Diceros bicornis minor: one gene and its partner. The protein of the gene in region 1 purifies or fractionates together with the protein of each later gene. This does not show direct contact. Links are inferred from orthologs where the notes say so. Each region holds a gene or a part of one and is shown on either strand. Other genes may lie near its edges.

Region 1 (7,149 bases):
TAGGAGGAACTTGAGAGGAAAGAAAAAGCCATTGTGACTTTTATAAAATGAACGAACCTGGGAAATGAAAAAAAAAAAAAGTGTACTGGGGAAACACTTTGTTACATAGTTGGCTATAAAATACAAAGCAGCAAAGAATAGAGTTTAGTTACATAGATTCAAGAGAGTAAAAATTGTCTTTACATATTTGAGGGAAACTAAATCACAATAAAACCCAAAACCACTATGAGGGATTCCAGCAATAATTTAATAGTTGAAAGCATGACATTATTTTGGATGGTAAAAAAATAAAAAAATAGTCTTCACTACACCTGGTGGTGTAGTGGTTTAAGTTTGTGTGCTCTGCTTTTGCAGCTTGGGGTTCACAGGTTCGGATCCTGGGTGTGAACCTACACACCACTTATCAAACCATGCTGTGGCAGTGTCCCATATAAAGTAGAGGAAGATGGGCACGGATGTTAGCCCAAGGCCAATCTTCCTCAGGAAAAAAAAAAAAGGATTGGCAACAGATGTTAGCTCAGGGCTAATGTTCCTCAAAAAAAAAATAAAAAATAGTCTTATAGTCTTACTTTTAAGAAGTTTATAATCAAATTCATAAAAGATAATTAGGTAAACTATCATTATTCTTACTTTGGAAAGAACTTGTCCCAAATATAACTCATTTGGTAGCATTACCTTACCTGAAATATATTGTTCAAATGTGTACTCTAAAAAGATATCGGAAAATGGGGCATCTCAGAGATTAGGCATGAAAAAGATAATAACACACTTCACAAAAGAGGAAACCCAAATGGCTAGCTGATACATGAAAAGGTCCTCAATAGCATCAGTAATCAAGGAAATGCAACTTAAAACCACAATGATATACTACTACATACCCACCAGACAGGCAAAACTGAAGACTGATAATACCAAGTGTGGTTGAGGGTGTGGTACAACAGGATTCATACATGGTCAGTGTGAGCATAACACTTTAGAAAACAGCATGGTGTTATTTACTCAAGTTTATGACACACATAACCACTCCCAGGTATATACCATACAGAACTATAGATGTGATGGAAAAAATCTATGAAGGATGTTCACAGCAGCGTTTATAACAGCCCCAAATTGGAAACAACCTAGATGTCCATTAACAATAGAATGGTTAAATAAATTATGGCATATTGCTACAATGGAACATTTGTAATATGCAGCAATTAAAATGAACAGATTACAGCTATATGAACCCAAACAACGTACAGGTTAAAAACGATGTTGTGCAAAAGCAGTAAGCACAACAGATTACAAATTATGTTGTTCCATTTAATAAAGTTCAAAATAAAGGGCAAAACTAAACAATATATTGTTTAGGGATGCATGCTTGTGACAAAACAATAGAGAAAAACAAGGAAATGATTATCACAAAAGTTAGAATAATGGTCACCTCTAAAAGGGAGGGAAAGACTTGTGTTCAGGAAGGTCACTGGGGGGCTTCCGGGGTGCTGGCAATGTTCTATTTCTTGACCTGGTGAGTCACACTGAGGTTTCTTTTATAATTACTCATTATACTGAATAACTGCTTTATGCATTTTAATGTATATTTCACAATAAAAATGCTAAAAGTAATTGAATACTGTAGACAGCATTTCTAGAAAGAAATTTTGCCAGATAATTTAGCTTATGAAATCTTTGACAGTAAAAACCACTGATGTGGGATAATAAAACATTAAACAGTTTCTCATAAGAGCTCACTTTCAAGCGTAGGAGAAAAGAACCCTACGCAAATATCCCTTTGTTATATTTTAACAGAGTATGCAAATCTTTATCACAAACAAATTGATGAACCGGGGAAAGAACTCTGTTACCTCAAACTTCAGATTTTTTTGGAATTTTGAATGAACCGTTTTCTCCCCTGGATTAATAAGAAATGAAAGAACTAAAGAGATGTAGACCACCATGGAAATGTATGAACTTCCTCCTCTCCAGTCACCAGTTCCAGCTGTTTCCTCCAGTTATCATGCTGGGTGGTGAGGTGGGTGGATCTTGCCCAGTAAGCTCAGTGCAGCTGTTACTTTGTAAGTAGGTGGCTGAGGGCTCTCCTGAGTGCCATTCTGTCTCTCAGCACTAAGGTTCTAAGGTGGAGCCACTGACAACGAAAACAGATCAGGCTGCTGAAAAACCCCACGTGGTACCCACCTTTCTGGAGGCATCCTCTGCTGGTTTGCCGTGCTCTGATGTTTGCACTCTTTTTATCCAAAGCCCATAGAATTTAAAATCTGAGGTGCTCAGGCTTCACAAAATCCGCTATATCTGTGCGTTTTACTCTGTCAATTTCCACCAGGAAATTAGCAAGAGGGGCAAAACCAAAAAAGATCTATTTTGTAGCCATGTTGGGCCATCACTTAGTGGTCTGATTCCCTATGAATCTCATTTGGAAGGACATGGCAGGGGATTGGTCATGAAAAGACAGTTAAATCCAGGGTAGCTTAAGCAGGATAGTTAACCTGGCTCTTGGAACTTCGAATCAAGGGCAGGTGGGCAGGTGCCACTTTGTGAGTCTCTTCTTGCTTCTGCAACATCCCCCTCCACCTTCCCATCACTTTTTCTGTGCACTTTTCTGCACTTTAATAAAAATGAGCCCCTGGATTTCCCCAGTTAGAAGTTTCCTTGGTTTACTGTTTGCATGCGGCGGTGGCAGTTGCGGCAGAAACTCTGAGCTTCCCAAATCTCTCTATAAAAACTTGCTCCTTATTCCCTGAGGCGGAAAGACTTGTAATATCCATTATTGCTGCTTCTAGAGGAGGTAGGGTGTGCCAGGGTCCAGCGACAGAACGGTGGAATCCGCTTCCTTTCATCATTGTTGCTGCTTTCATCTCATTCTCACACTGTTCACCACGACAGGTTCAAGAGAGATTTCTGAGGATTCTGGTTTTTTTACCCTAAAATTTATTTTCCTAGAGAACTACACTTTCAACTTCATGAGTTTTTACTTGAATTTACCTTCCAGGATAACATCTGTAGGAAAAGCTGCACAATAGTAATAATATTTATTTTAGAAAGGAAATAGCCTTTGAGTCAGACCTGAAACACAGGCCAAAATTTCTTGATGACGGTAACGGACACTGATTAACAGCCAAGTCAGCTCTCCAAAGCTTCAAACAACAAGCAAGAACGATTCCTAAAAGTGAGGCCCTACTAAATTCTCCCCCTGAAAAACAGTCGACAATCCTTCCACAATCTCTGGGAGGATGGCTCCCTTCCCTCACCCCGGTAATTCCCCTCCTTTTTCACTCAAGACTCAGGTTGTGACTCCGTACTCAAGCCGCACCCCTATTTCCTTTCATGGGAGGGGGCGGGGGGAAGAAGAGATGTATTACAACTCTAATCTTTACAATGCTATGCAGTTTACAAAGCGCTTGCAACTTCCATCAACTCCTCTGAGCTCCGCGAGCGCCACGTGAGGCATTCATTCATTCATCAAACATTTGCTCCGCTCGACCACACGTTATCGGGCGCTGGGTCTCACCCCACACCACGAGAAGGGTGGAGTGCTCGCTCCCTGGAGCAGGTGCAGAGGGTCAGGCTGTAGGACAACTTCTCGCTCAGTCAGGCTTTTCGAAAGCCCATTTGGGGCCAAATGCCTCACCTTCGGGTGGTGTGCGCCCGAGCATGGCCGCGCGGCCTGGGCCTCCTCCTCGCTCCCAAAGGAGCAGTCACCACCTGCCCTGAAGGAAACCGCTAAGAGCAAGCTCTCTCCGCCGCCCTCGGGTCAGGGGTAAGATCAGGCGGCAGCTTAGGCTCCACTCGGCTCCTCCCCTTCCTCTCTTCAGTTCTGACGCGGCCGTAGAGGCGGCGGCAGCGGCGGCGAGTCCCGCGGCCCCAGTCGCACCCACCCGCTCGCCCAGCCCCGACTTCCTCTTCCCTTTGAGCGTCATCACAGCGCGCCAGAGTCGCCCAAGGCAGGGTGATTGGAAAGAGAAAAAAAGGCCAGCGGAGGAAGCCTCCGAGCGGAAAGACAAGGGAGGGGGGAGGAGAGCGGTTGCTAGGTGACTTGCGTCATCGGTCTGCGCCGCTTTCCTCCCGCCCCTCTCTCTGGAGTGAGGCGAGAGCCCCGCACAGAGCGAGCGAGACAGCGAGCTGAGCTCCGGGCGCTACCGCCGCCGCCGCCGCCGCCGCCGCCGCCGCCAAGAGCGTGAGAGCGAGGGAGCATCCGAGAGACCTAGCCCCCGTGCACTGGCCGCCGCCAAGACCTCCGCCCTAAGCTGGGCCAGCGGGAGCCGCCGCCACCCCGCCTCTCCCCCCCTCACCTTCCCGGCCGGCAGCGGCGGCTGCACACGCCGGAGCCCGAGCCTGAGCCCGAGCCGGCGGCTGGGGGGCAGGGAGGCGGCTACTCGGGCCGGGACTAGTGAGCTGCTCCGCGGTGAGGGGACGCTGAGGAGGGGCCGGAGCTTCTATCTCGTCCCGGGGCGCGGGGCTCGGGACCCCCAAGGTGTAGGGAGGGGGGCCCAGCCGCAGCGACACATGCGGGAGCCGGGAGCGGGGGCGGCGCCGAGCGGAGCCGGCCGGGTCCCCCACCTCGCCGCCGCCTCGGCCACCCTCCCGGGCCCGTAGCATCTCGCCCCGGAGTGTATGAGCCGGGGCCCCAAGCTCAGCAGCCACCCCCCGACCGGGGGGGCGGGGACCCCGATGTGAAGCGGCGGCCGGGGCGGCGGGGAGAGCAGGACCGGCGCCGCCGTCCTTTCCTTCCCTTCCCCCTCCCCTCTGCCCCCTCGGGGGTCTTCTCCCTTGGCCAGTTGCCGGCCCCCCGACTCCTCGGCTGGACTCCGGGAGGAGTTCTTAGAGCCCCCTCCCCCGCCCCAGGGCGGCGGGGCCGGGGGGGACCCGGGGGGCCGGCCGCAGCCTCCGCCCAGAGGAAACTTTTATAAAGATAAAATCCGGAGCCTCCCAAACCTGACTATCCCGGGAGAAGTGACCCAGGACGGGCAGGACACACAGCTTGAAGAGACCCAGGAAGAGGAAAAGGAGGTAAGCGGGGCCGCCGCCGCCTCTGCTCCGGCAGCGCGGAAGAGACCCGAGTGGCCGTCTGCTTTAGCGACACCAGCACCGCTTCTTCCTCACTAACTCGCCGGAGCCTTCCGCAGCTGCCGCCTCGGTGCGAAGGAGGAAGGGAACCAACCCACTTTCCCAGCGCCACGGCTCTTCTGTAAAGTGTGAGTGGCCGGGGAGGGGGAATTGAGGGGTAGCGAGTGGGAGGATGCCGGTGGGACCTCCTGGAGTTTTGCTGATGTTTTCCGGGAGTGTTGGGAGTGTATGGATGAGAGGGTGTACCCTAATACCTCACTGCGGGGAGGAGGTATTAGGTAGTCCTGTGTTCTGGAACCTTTTAGCTCTTTGTACGTGTAATACGCAAGCTTACAGGTTTCTCTTAGCGCTGAGTTCTGTCTTTCTCTAGAGTGGACACTTGCACCTTTCTGCCAGTAATTGGCAAAAGGAAATTGAGGAGGCCAGAACATATGTGCACACAAAGGACATCTCTGTAATATACCTTTTCCTGGTACACCGGTGTGAGTAGCGCTGTAGTTCTTGTTTCTGGGCAAATCTTATTTTGCTTCCCAAGTGGGAACCTCTTTTACCCTGTGCACCCTGAAAGTAAAAGTCTTTTCTTTTTTCTACAGTCTTCCTTGAGAGATTTTCCTATTGGTACAAGAGTTTTTTACCTTCTCGTTTTTGGGGTCCAGTTCCTGTGGGTCAGGAGGATACTGTAACAGATTTTAATCACTCAGGAAATTCTGAGTTCTTAAGAATCACAACTTTTGGGGGAGAGCGTTTAGTACTTTAACTAGTTTATAAAAGTTGTTACATTTTTTCCTTTCCTAAATGCTTTTTTTTTTTTGGAGTAGCATATGTTCTAATTGCTAGCGCTTTTTTATTTGACACGAATGACTTGAGGCTTTGCTTGTTTGTGTTGTCTATACTTCTCTATTAAATGAGGAGAAACTTTTCGTATTTAATTCTTTGAAGAACGATTTTTTTCTTCCCTTATTTTATTTTATTTATTTATTTATTTTTGTGAGGAAGATCAGCCCTGAGCTAACATCCATGCTAATCCTCCTCTTTTTTTTTTTACTGAGGAAGACCGGCTCTGAGCTAACATCTGTTGCCAATCCTCCTCCTTTTTTTCCGCCAAAGCCCCAGTAGATAGTTGTATGTCATAGTTGCACATCCTTCTAGTTGCTGTATGTGGGACGCCGCCTCAGCATGGCCGGAGAAGCGGTGCCTCGGTGTGCGCCCCGGATCTGAACCCCCGGCCGCCAGTAGCGGAGCGACTGCGCTTAACTGCTAAGCCACTGGCTGGCCCTCTTCCCTTATTTTAAAGGTGAAGTCTATAAAATCTTTGATTTGTGTTTTAGATATCTTCTCAGAGTGCCAAATTAAGGTGCAGGAAAGTAGTTAACATTTTGTAAATTTATACAGACCTTAAGCATTAAGTGTAGGGTGGAATTTTATATAAAGAACATAAGCAGTACTATATGAGAATGATGGTTCCTCCAGACAACTGTGTGGGTTCGCTGTTTCTGAAGCCACTGCTGAGAGAAGCTTTGTGGGAATGAATGTAAGCCTGGGGTTATCTATGCTGACTTCTCCAGTCAGGATCTTGATTAAATTTATTTAAAACTTTCTCAAACAGTGTTTTCATCCTGTACTTTTCTCTTTTGAAGTAATGAGTTCTACACCCCCTGAATTATGTAACAATTCATTTATTTATCCCAAACCTCTTTAAAGTTCCAAGACACATCCAGAGTTTGTTTTGAAAAATTCTAGAACAAGCTGGAGTTTATCTTTTCCTGGTTTTATAGATTTTGATTGTTCCTCTTTACCATCATCTTTCCTGACTCTTTTTGTCTGTCTTAGAATAATTTCTTCAATCCCTTTGGTCACTTTGCTCTCCTCTGGAACTTCTCCTGCTGCTTTGTTTTTCTTTAGGTACCTTGTTCTTGTCATGCTTTTGTAAGGAGCCTTAAATTCTGTCTATTTTAAATGGGTACTGACATGAAAATATTAAGCAGTGGATATAATGTTAGATGTGGAATCAAAAACAAATGTCTCTGGATTTGTTGTCTTATTTTGTGACCTTGAGGAAGTCATGTATCCGATGTTTCACGAAGA
Region 2 (7,322 bases), on another chromosome or scaffold:
TTTGATGCCATGCAGCAGACAATCAGAAAGCAAAGTAAGTAAAAGACTAACAAAAATCTTAAGGCAGCTGATTGCACAATCAACTTTTGCTAAACTAGAACGAACACCTAAAGGTAATAGAAAGTGGGTGGGTCATTAATGTGGTACAGAACTTTCATCTCTAGTTTATATTTCAATCTACATTAACATGAGTATCTAGGTAAATTCTATATAAACAATACTTTTCTCTGCTCAAAAATACTGCAGGCCAAAAAAGCACATATATGCTATTATTAAGCACACAGAGTTCTTATAATACATGCTTTATTTTAAACAGGTGATGATTTTATCTCCTTTGGAATTAACTATACTATACAATGTACTTTAAGCAACATATTTTTAATGTTCTTGCTGCTATATCTAATTTTCCAAAAAAATCTCAAATTTGAATGAGAAAAATTTACAATATCAGCACCTTTTTAACTGATTTGTAATTTTAAAAAAATAGCACCTTATCCACCCTCTGCATACAAGAGAATGTAGACTTTCTCTAGTCCTTTAAAAAAAAAAAAAATCAAAGCATGCATTTCTGCAGTTCTGCATTTCAAAGTTGCTACCTAAAGAGTAATTCTGTTTAAAAAAAAAAAAAAAAGTATATTCAAAAATCAATTCCTGGTTTAAAGAGGTTTAAGAGAAAATACCCAAAGCATTAATCTTTAGTTGGTCATAAAGCACAGAATCCTCTCCCACAAAATTGTTTCTCCAAAAGAATCTCAAGCATCTTATCTCTATAACATTATCACCCTTACTTAAGCTTAAAAAAAAAATAAAAGATAAAAGAAATGATGTATCTTAAAGACTGGCTACACATATAATATACTTTCATTTGTCTACAAAATCTACTGTATATAAATTAGCCACACATACCCAAGCCATTACCAGTCAGCATGATATATGGTAATTTGGGGGATCTCTCCTCACTAATATTGGTCTACTTGGTTATTTTAATTACCTGTTAAAGTGTCAATGTGGTCACCAGCCACCAAACAAAAACCATTTAAAATATCCCTTAATCAATATGTTTGCTAATCTACGAAGTCCCTGAACCTGATACTAAATGACAGAATGAGGGGGAGAAAAGAGGATGCAAAATGAGTTTTATTCCCACATACCAAAAGATCAAGGGAAAATAATCACAGTCCTGAGAGGAAGAAGAGCAACTTGTAACTGAATTTTAAAATTAAATATCTGAATAAAAATGTTGGAAGAAAAATAAAATTGACCTGATCTTACCACAGCAAAAACATGGATACTATGTCACTCGGGTCACTGTAGGTAAAAATCGCATGTTTTGATTTTTTTTATCTGCATAATGAAACATATTGAATAAAATAACACTTTTATTTGAAAAGTTGGCAAGAATTTGTATGTCTCCACTAGTCTCAAAGAAAAAAAGCCTCTATGCTACCCATAATTAAATGTAACTAATTACAATTTGAACACTAAATTATTTATCCAGTGTAAACAAGGATTAAGAGGAAATAATGCTCCCATCTGCAGCAGAGGTTACAGAAAACAATTTCCAAAATGCATGCGCTCCAAAAGTCAGTTCCCCCAAAAAAGGTACACAACTTAAAATAAGTTGGTTTTTTTAAGGCTAAATTAAACAAACCGTTCAGCCAATTTTCCAATTATATTCTACGCTTGAAACATAATTGCCTTACATCTGTTTACAAATCTTTGCTCAATATTTAAACAAATTCGTAGTCTCCCGGGCACATAGCTATACATACAGTAACTCCTGCACAAAGCACATATTTAAAGACCACGTACTGCAATTATTAGCCTAAACGCCAGGTTTAACAACATGAATGTTTTCAGAGCTAGGTAATACGACCCAATAAAAAGCAGAGATGGCATTTACCACCAAATGTCACTGCGACCGCCAGGAAAGAGTTGCTGGAGCCCTATACATTTTTAATTTCCATGAATCTAGACGCCGTCGTCGGGTGCCAGGCTTCCAGGAGAACAATTGACACCCTAACTGCTTCAAGATTAAGGCAGGCGATTCAAATCCCAAGGAAAAGTTGTCAATTACCAGCGAGAGCGCGCGAGAGAGGCGAAGGCAGATAAAAGCGATGTTATCCAGCCGCCCAGCTTGTTGCTTTTTTGTGTGTGTGGATTCGTTGTTAGGATAGAGAAAACAGTTTTTAAAAGACACAGGAGGAGAGAGAGAGAAGAAAAAGCTTTCTCCACCTTCCGTCGGCTCGGTGCAATGGCTTTCCGGCTCTCCAGCGTAGTAAGCCCCGAGAGGCGGGCGGCTGTCGGTGTTTACAATCGCGGGAGCTCCGGGTGCCAGAGTCCTTTACTGACACCATCGCATTCGATCAACTGTTTTCGGGCGAAATTGCAGGTGTCATTATGGAATTTTAAAAAAATTCAAAAGCCGGGCGGGCGAGCGGGCAGTCGACCCGACAAGGGGGGAAAAGGCTGCCGATCGCAGGCACGGGCAGCACAAGGCAAAGCCTTCCACATTTAGGGGAAAAAAGGGGGGAAGAGGGGAGAGGAAGGGGGTGTGATGGCAACAGAGGGTGGGCGTTCGAAGTGCGACCCAGAATCCGCAGCTCTGAGACTTCCACATGCAAATTCCACGCCGAGCGCCGCGCTCACAAATGATTTTTAAAGAGCCAAATAAACACTGGAGGGGAGCCAAGGCGAGGAGCGACGATCCAAAAGGGGGAGACGCGGCGAGAGGCGAGCGGCGGGGAGAGGCGAGGGAGGGGCACGTCCCGGCGGCGGGAGGAGAAAGTTGGTCGGCGGCGGAGGTCGGGGACCCCCCCCCGGCCCGGCCCCCTCCCCGCCGCCCGGCTACTCACCAGCGAGAAGAGGTTGGAGTGACAATCCTCCAGGCTCGCCCCGTTCGCCACCCAGTTCGCTGCCGCAGTCATGATCCTCCGCGAGCCCGGCCGCCAGAGCGGGGCATGTCGGAGCGAGGCGTCCGAGGCGAGGCCGGGCCGGGCGGCGGCGCCTCGCCGGGGAGCGCGGGCGGCCGGGCCGCCGCCGCCGCCGCCGCCGCCGCCGCCGCCGCCGCCGCCGCCGCCGGGGGAGGGCGCGAGGGCCGGCGGGCGGGCGGGAGGCGCCGCGGCGACGCCGCGCCGGGGGCGGCGGGCCCGGGCCGGCGGGGGGGTCCGCGGCGGCCGCGCGGCTCCTTCCTGCTCGGGCGGCGGCGGCGGCGGCGGCTGCCGCGGCTCCGGCGGCGGCGGGGGGCGCTGTCCGCGCGGCCCGGCGCCCTCCCCGCCTCTCAGGGCCGCCGCTGCCTCCCGGGCTGGCGCTGCGGGCCGGCCGCCGCCTCCGCCTTCCCTGTTCCTCCGCCGCCGCCGCCGCCGCCGCCTTGTTTATCTCCAGCCACCGACTCCCCCTCTGCCCCCGCCGGCGCGTGAGGGGAGGCGAGCCCCGGAGCCACCGCCGCCGCCTCGGAGCCGCCGCCGCCGCGGAGCGCGAACTCGCGAAGGGGGGGGTGCGGACGAAGCCAGCGGGCGACCCCGGCAGCCGAGCGACGTCCCCTCCTTCCTCTTCCTCCCCCACCCCCCCCTCCTCCCCAGTCAGCCTCGCTTCTCCTCCCTCCCCGGGCTCGCTCGCTCTGACAGCAATGGCGGCCGCCGACCGCGGCTCGGCCCGCCATTGGCTGGCGCCGCGTCACGTGACGGGCGCCGGCCGCGCGGGGGGGCGGAGGGCGGGCGGGGGAGGGGCCGGGAGCGGCTGCGGCGGCGGCGGCTCGCGGGCGGCGCTGCTGAGCCGAGCGCGGCCGGCTTCTCGGGCCGGGAGAGGGAGGGAGGCGGAGAGGCAGAGAAAGAAGTGCGGGCGGCGGCCGGCCGGCCGGCCGGGGCTGCCGTGCGCTGTCCCGCGTGGGCGCCGCGCCCCGCCCCCTCGGGTGCACGGATCCCGACGAGGCGCGACCGCGAGCCCCGGGAACGCCCGTGGCGGCCACGGCCGAGGGCTCGGGCCCCCCGCGAGTGCCCCCGACCGCCCAGGCCAGCTGGCGTGGCGGGGGCTCGCAGTGGGCCGGGCAGCAGGTCCAGGGGCTCCCGGGAGTGTCGCGTCGAGGTCGCACTCCGCCGTCGGCGTTCTGCGGCTGAGAAAACTGAAGCACAAAGAGATTAAGTCACTTGCCCGAGGTCGCACAGCTGGGAACTGGAGGGGGCGGGATTCGAACCCCCGTACCCAGGCACAGTCAAGCCAAGCTCTTGCGCTAGGTTTTATAAGACTCGTCCAGGGATATTCGGGGCTGCCACTTAGTGAGCGCTTACTGTGTACCAGGCACTATGCGCTGAATACAGGAAAGCCTTTTGAGGCCTTACTCCTAGGCACTGTGTGCAGACATTCATTCACTCATTGCGTCAGTGTTTCCTTACCTCTTGCCACGTGCCGGAATATGTTATAACTGCCAGGCGCTGTGCTAGGGCTGTGTTGGGAGCAGACCCTCCCTCTTGGCTACATTCATTCAATGACCAACATTTTCTGAGAGCATATGGCCTGGGAGTCCAGAGGTGTGCCAGTAAGAGGAGGCTGTCTCCCAGCCCTCAAGGCTTTGCTTCCGGCAAAGGTGGGAAGGAGAGAACAACTTCTTCGCCAACAAGCCACCAACTTGGAAGAGTCAGCTGTTTCAGGTGGATTGGACTAAAAGAGAGGAAGAGTAGAAACAGGGGAAAGATGGAGTGTAATAAAAGGAGAGAAGTCTTAGACGTGTGAATTGAGCTTTAGAACTTACACAAATAACTGCTAAAGTGAAACCCATGAGCAGCGTGTTACATATATTATTATCAAGGCTGACACTAGGTTATAACCCGCTGACACTATGTTATAATGAATGTATATACAAAGTGCTTTATCAACATGCATGGTGTTACTTGGGCCTGAGCAATCAGTCGGTGGGATGGTCCATTATATCCCAAGGGGCCTTCATCCTACACACCTGGTCACCAAATTCTCATTCTTCAGTAAGTTTAGGTTTAACTTGTTAGTAAGTCTCCCAGAGCAACCCAATAGAAAAATGAGCTAAGGATATGGACAGTTTAGAGAATAGGAAAGACATGGCTTTTAAGTATATAAAAAGATGCTCAACCTCACTCGTTGCTATGGACTGAATGTTTGTGTCCGCCTCAAATTCATACGTGGAACCCCTAATCCCTAGTGTGATGGTATTCAGAGATGGAGCCTTTGGCAGACGGTTAGGTCACAAGGGTGGAGCCCTCATGATGAGATTAGTGCCCTTGTAAGACAAGACTTGAGAGAGAATGCTTTCTCTTCCTCACTCCCCTCCCCTCCCCTCCTCTCCCCTCTCTCTGTCTCTCTCTCTCTCTGTGTCTCTGTCTTTCTGCTGTACAAAGTCATGACCACAAAGAGGGCTCTTACCAGGAACTAAACGGGCACCTTGATGTTGGACTTCCCAGCCTCCAGAATTGTGAGAAATAAATTTCTGTCATTTAAGCCACCCAGTCCCTGGTAATTTGTTATGGCAGCCCAAGCAGACTAAGACATTCATTATAAGAAAAACAAACTAAAACCATAATAAGTATTGGCAATATTTTAAAAGCTTAGGCAAATATGGAGGGAAGCAGAACTCTGATATACTGTCAGTGGGAATATAAATTAGCACCACAGCTTTCGGTGTCAATTTGGAGACATCGAAATTTATAATGCATGTACCCTTTGACCCAGCAATTCTAGTTCTAGAATTTTATCCTACAGAGATACTTGTGCAGATGTATAAAGACCTGTAGCACAAGGACATGAATTATAGTACTATTTGCTGGGCAAAAACTGGAAACAACCTACATGTCCATCATTTGGGGAGTAGTTAACAACGTAATTTAATTCCGTGTAGCCATTAAAAATAATGAGTTATCACTATGTGTCTCATATAAAATAATCTCAAAAATAGCTTATTAATTGAGTATCTCTGGAAGGTTACCCGAGACTCTAGTAATATCAGTTGCCTCTAGGGATGGGAGTCAGGGTGGGAAGAGGGTGAGGAGAGTACTTTTCACTGTACTGTTTGCGTTTTCTTTCTTTCTTTTTTCTGAATATGTATATTACCTGCTCAATGCAGTGTTATAAACAACACAAATCAATAAATAAATAAAATTGAAAACAGAATAATCAAATGGCACCATAAAAGGAAATTAAAAAGCAAATAAACAACACAAGACAAAAGAAAAAACCTCATCTGAGGGGATTACCTTGGCTGTCAAAGCCAAGGCCCCAGAGTGGAAGGGAAAAGGCCAAAAGTGCAGTGTGCAATTGCCCTGGCAACATGAGGACAGAAGGAGAACCCAGGGGAACTGGGTTCTAGTCTCAGATGTGCCACTGAGCAGCCCTGTTAGCTCAGACAAGCCCCTCAACCTCTCCGGGCCTCAGTTTCCTCATGTGTGAACAGGGCAGCCGGGGTGATCCTTCAAGTCATTTCTAGCAAGAAGACTTGGTTGATTCTGCACAGTTGAGAGGACTGATAAAGATCTGCAGAGTTCTTACTCAATAGAGAAAGCAATGGGAGTTGATGGAAAGCCTCAGGAGATAAGATGAAAAGAAAAGAAAACAAAAACCATCAACTGACTACTAGGAAGCAGCAAGGTACCAGGCACTGGGACTTCTGAGTACAGTTCCGTATGTGGGGACCTCATCAGAAGCATCCTCCTGACTTAGTTTCTCCATTTGTGAGAATGCCTGCTGCCCCGGCAGGAAATAGACGTTCCACTCTGCACAAGTCTCAGGTCTTATTCTGAGAATGACAGGTTAGTTCCCTTTCATGGTTACCAAATGTAATGGCAGAGAGAAAATGGAAGCAAAAATATGACCAGAGGAGGAACCACCTATTCGAGAGACCACAGGAAACCACCACAGCTGCAGGGTGGGAGCATTTTGCAGGAGTTAAGACTGTTGCTTCAGAGTAAGACACACCTGGGTTCCAATCCCTGCTCTGTCGTGCACAGAGCTGTAGAGCTGTGCAGCCTTGAGCAGGTCATTTAAGCCCTGTGACCCCCATTTCTTCCTGTGCATTGACCTCCCAGGGTGATAACACAGAGAAAGTTCTTAGCACAGTGCCCGGCCCCATAGACGGTGATCAAAAAATTATAACAATCACAGTCACTAGTCCATCCTCGTACAGTGGAAAGTGGCACCCAGTCACATCACTTGCAGCTTTTTTCCCTTTAACCTAAGCTTTATTGGATTTATTTTATTATAAATAACAAAATGTTAGCTAGAGCAAATCAAATGATATAGGAGCATACCAAGAAAAGGGAGTCCTGTTCTCTCTCCCCCACTAGGATAACCAAAGTCAACGA

The links. Proteins that work in one complex are often made in the same cells at the same time.
Region 2: the proteins of FBXW7 (region 1) and MED13L purify together in Homo sapiens (affinity purification with mass spectrometry; 4 studies listed by BioGRID, with this or other methods). This does not show direct contact. The link is inferred for Diceros bicornis minor from reciprocal best matches to the Homo sapiens genes FBXW7 and MED13L.

Annotation. Positions count from the first base shown.
Region 1 is NC_080750.1:40,826,125-40,833,273, reverse strand, and holds the start of FBXW7 (F-box/WD repeat-containing protein 7), read left to right. Parts: upstream 1-4,149; 5' UTR 4,150-5,192; intron 5,193-7,149. UniProt on the Homo sapiens protein: Substrate recognition component of a SCF (SKP1-CUL1-F-box protein) E3 ubiquitin-protein ligase complex which mediates the ubiquitination and subsequent proteasomal degradation of target proteins.
Region 2 is NC_080774.1:13,709,126-13,716,447, forward strand, and holds the start of MED13L (mediator of RNA polymerase II transcription subunit 13-like), read right to left. Parts: upstream 3,009-7,322; 5' UTR 2,928-3,008; coding exon 2,856-2,927; intron 1-2,855. UniProt on the Homo sapiens protein: Component of the Mediator complex, a coactivator involved in the regulated transcription of nearly all RNA polymerase II-dependent genes.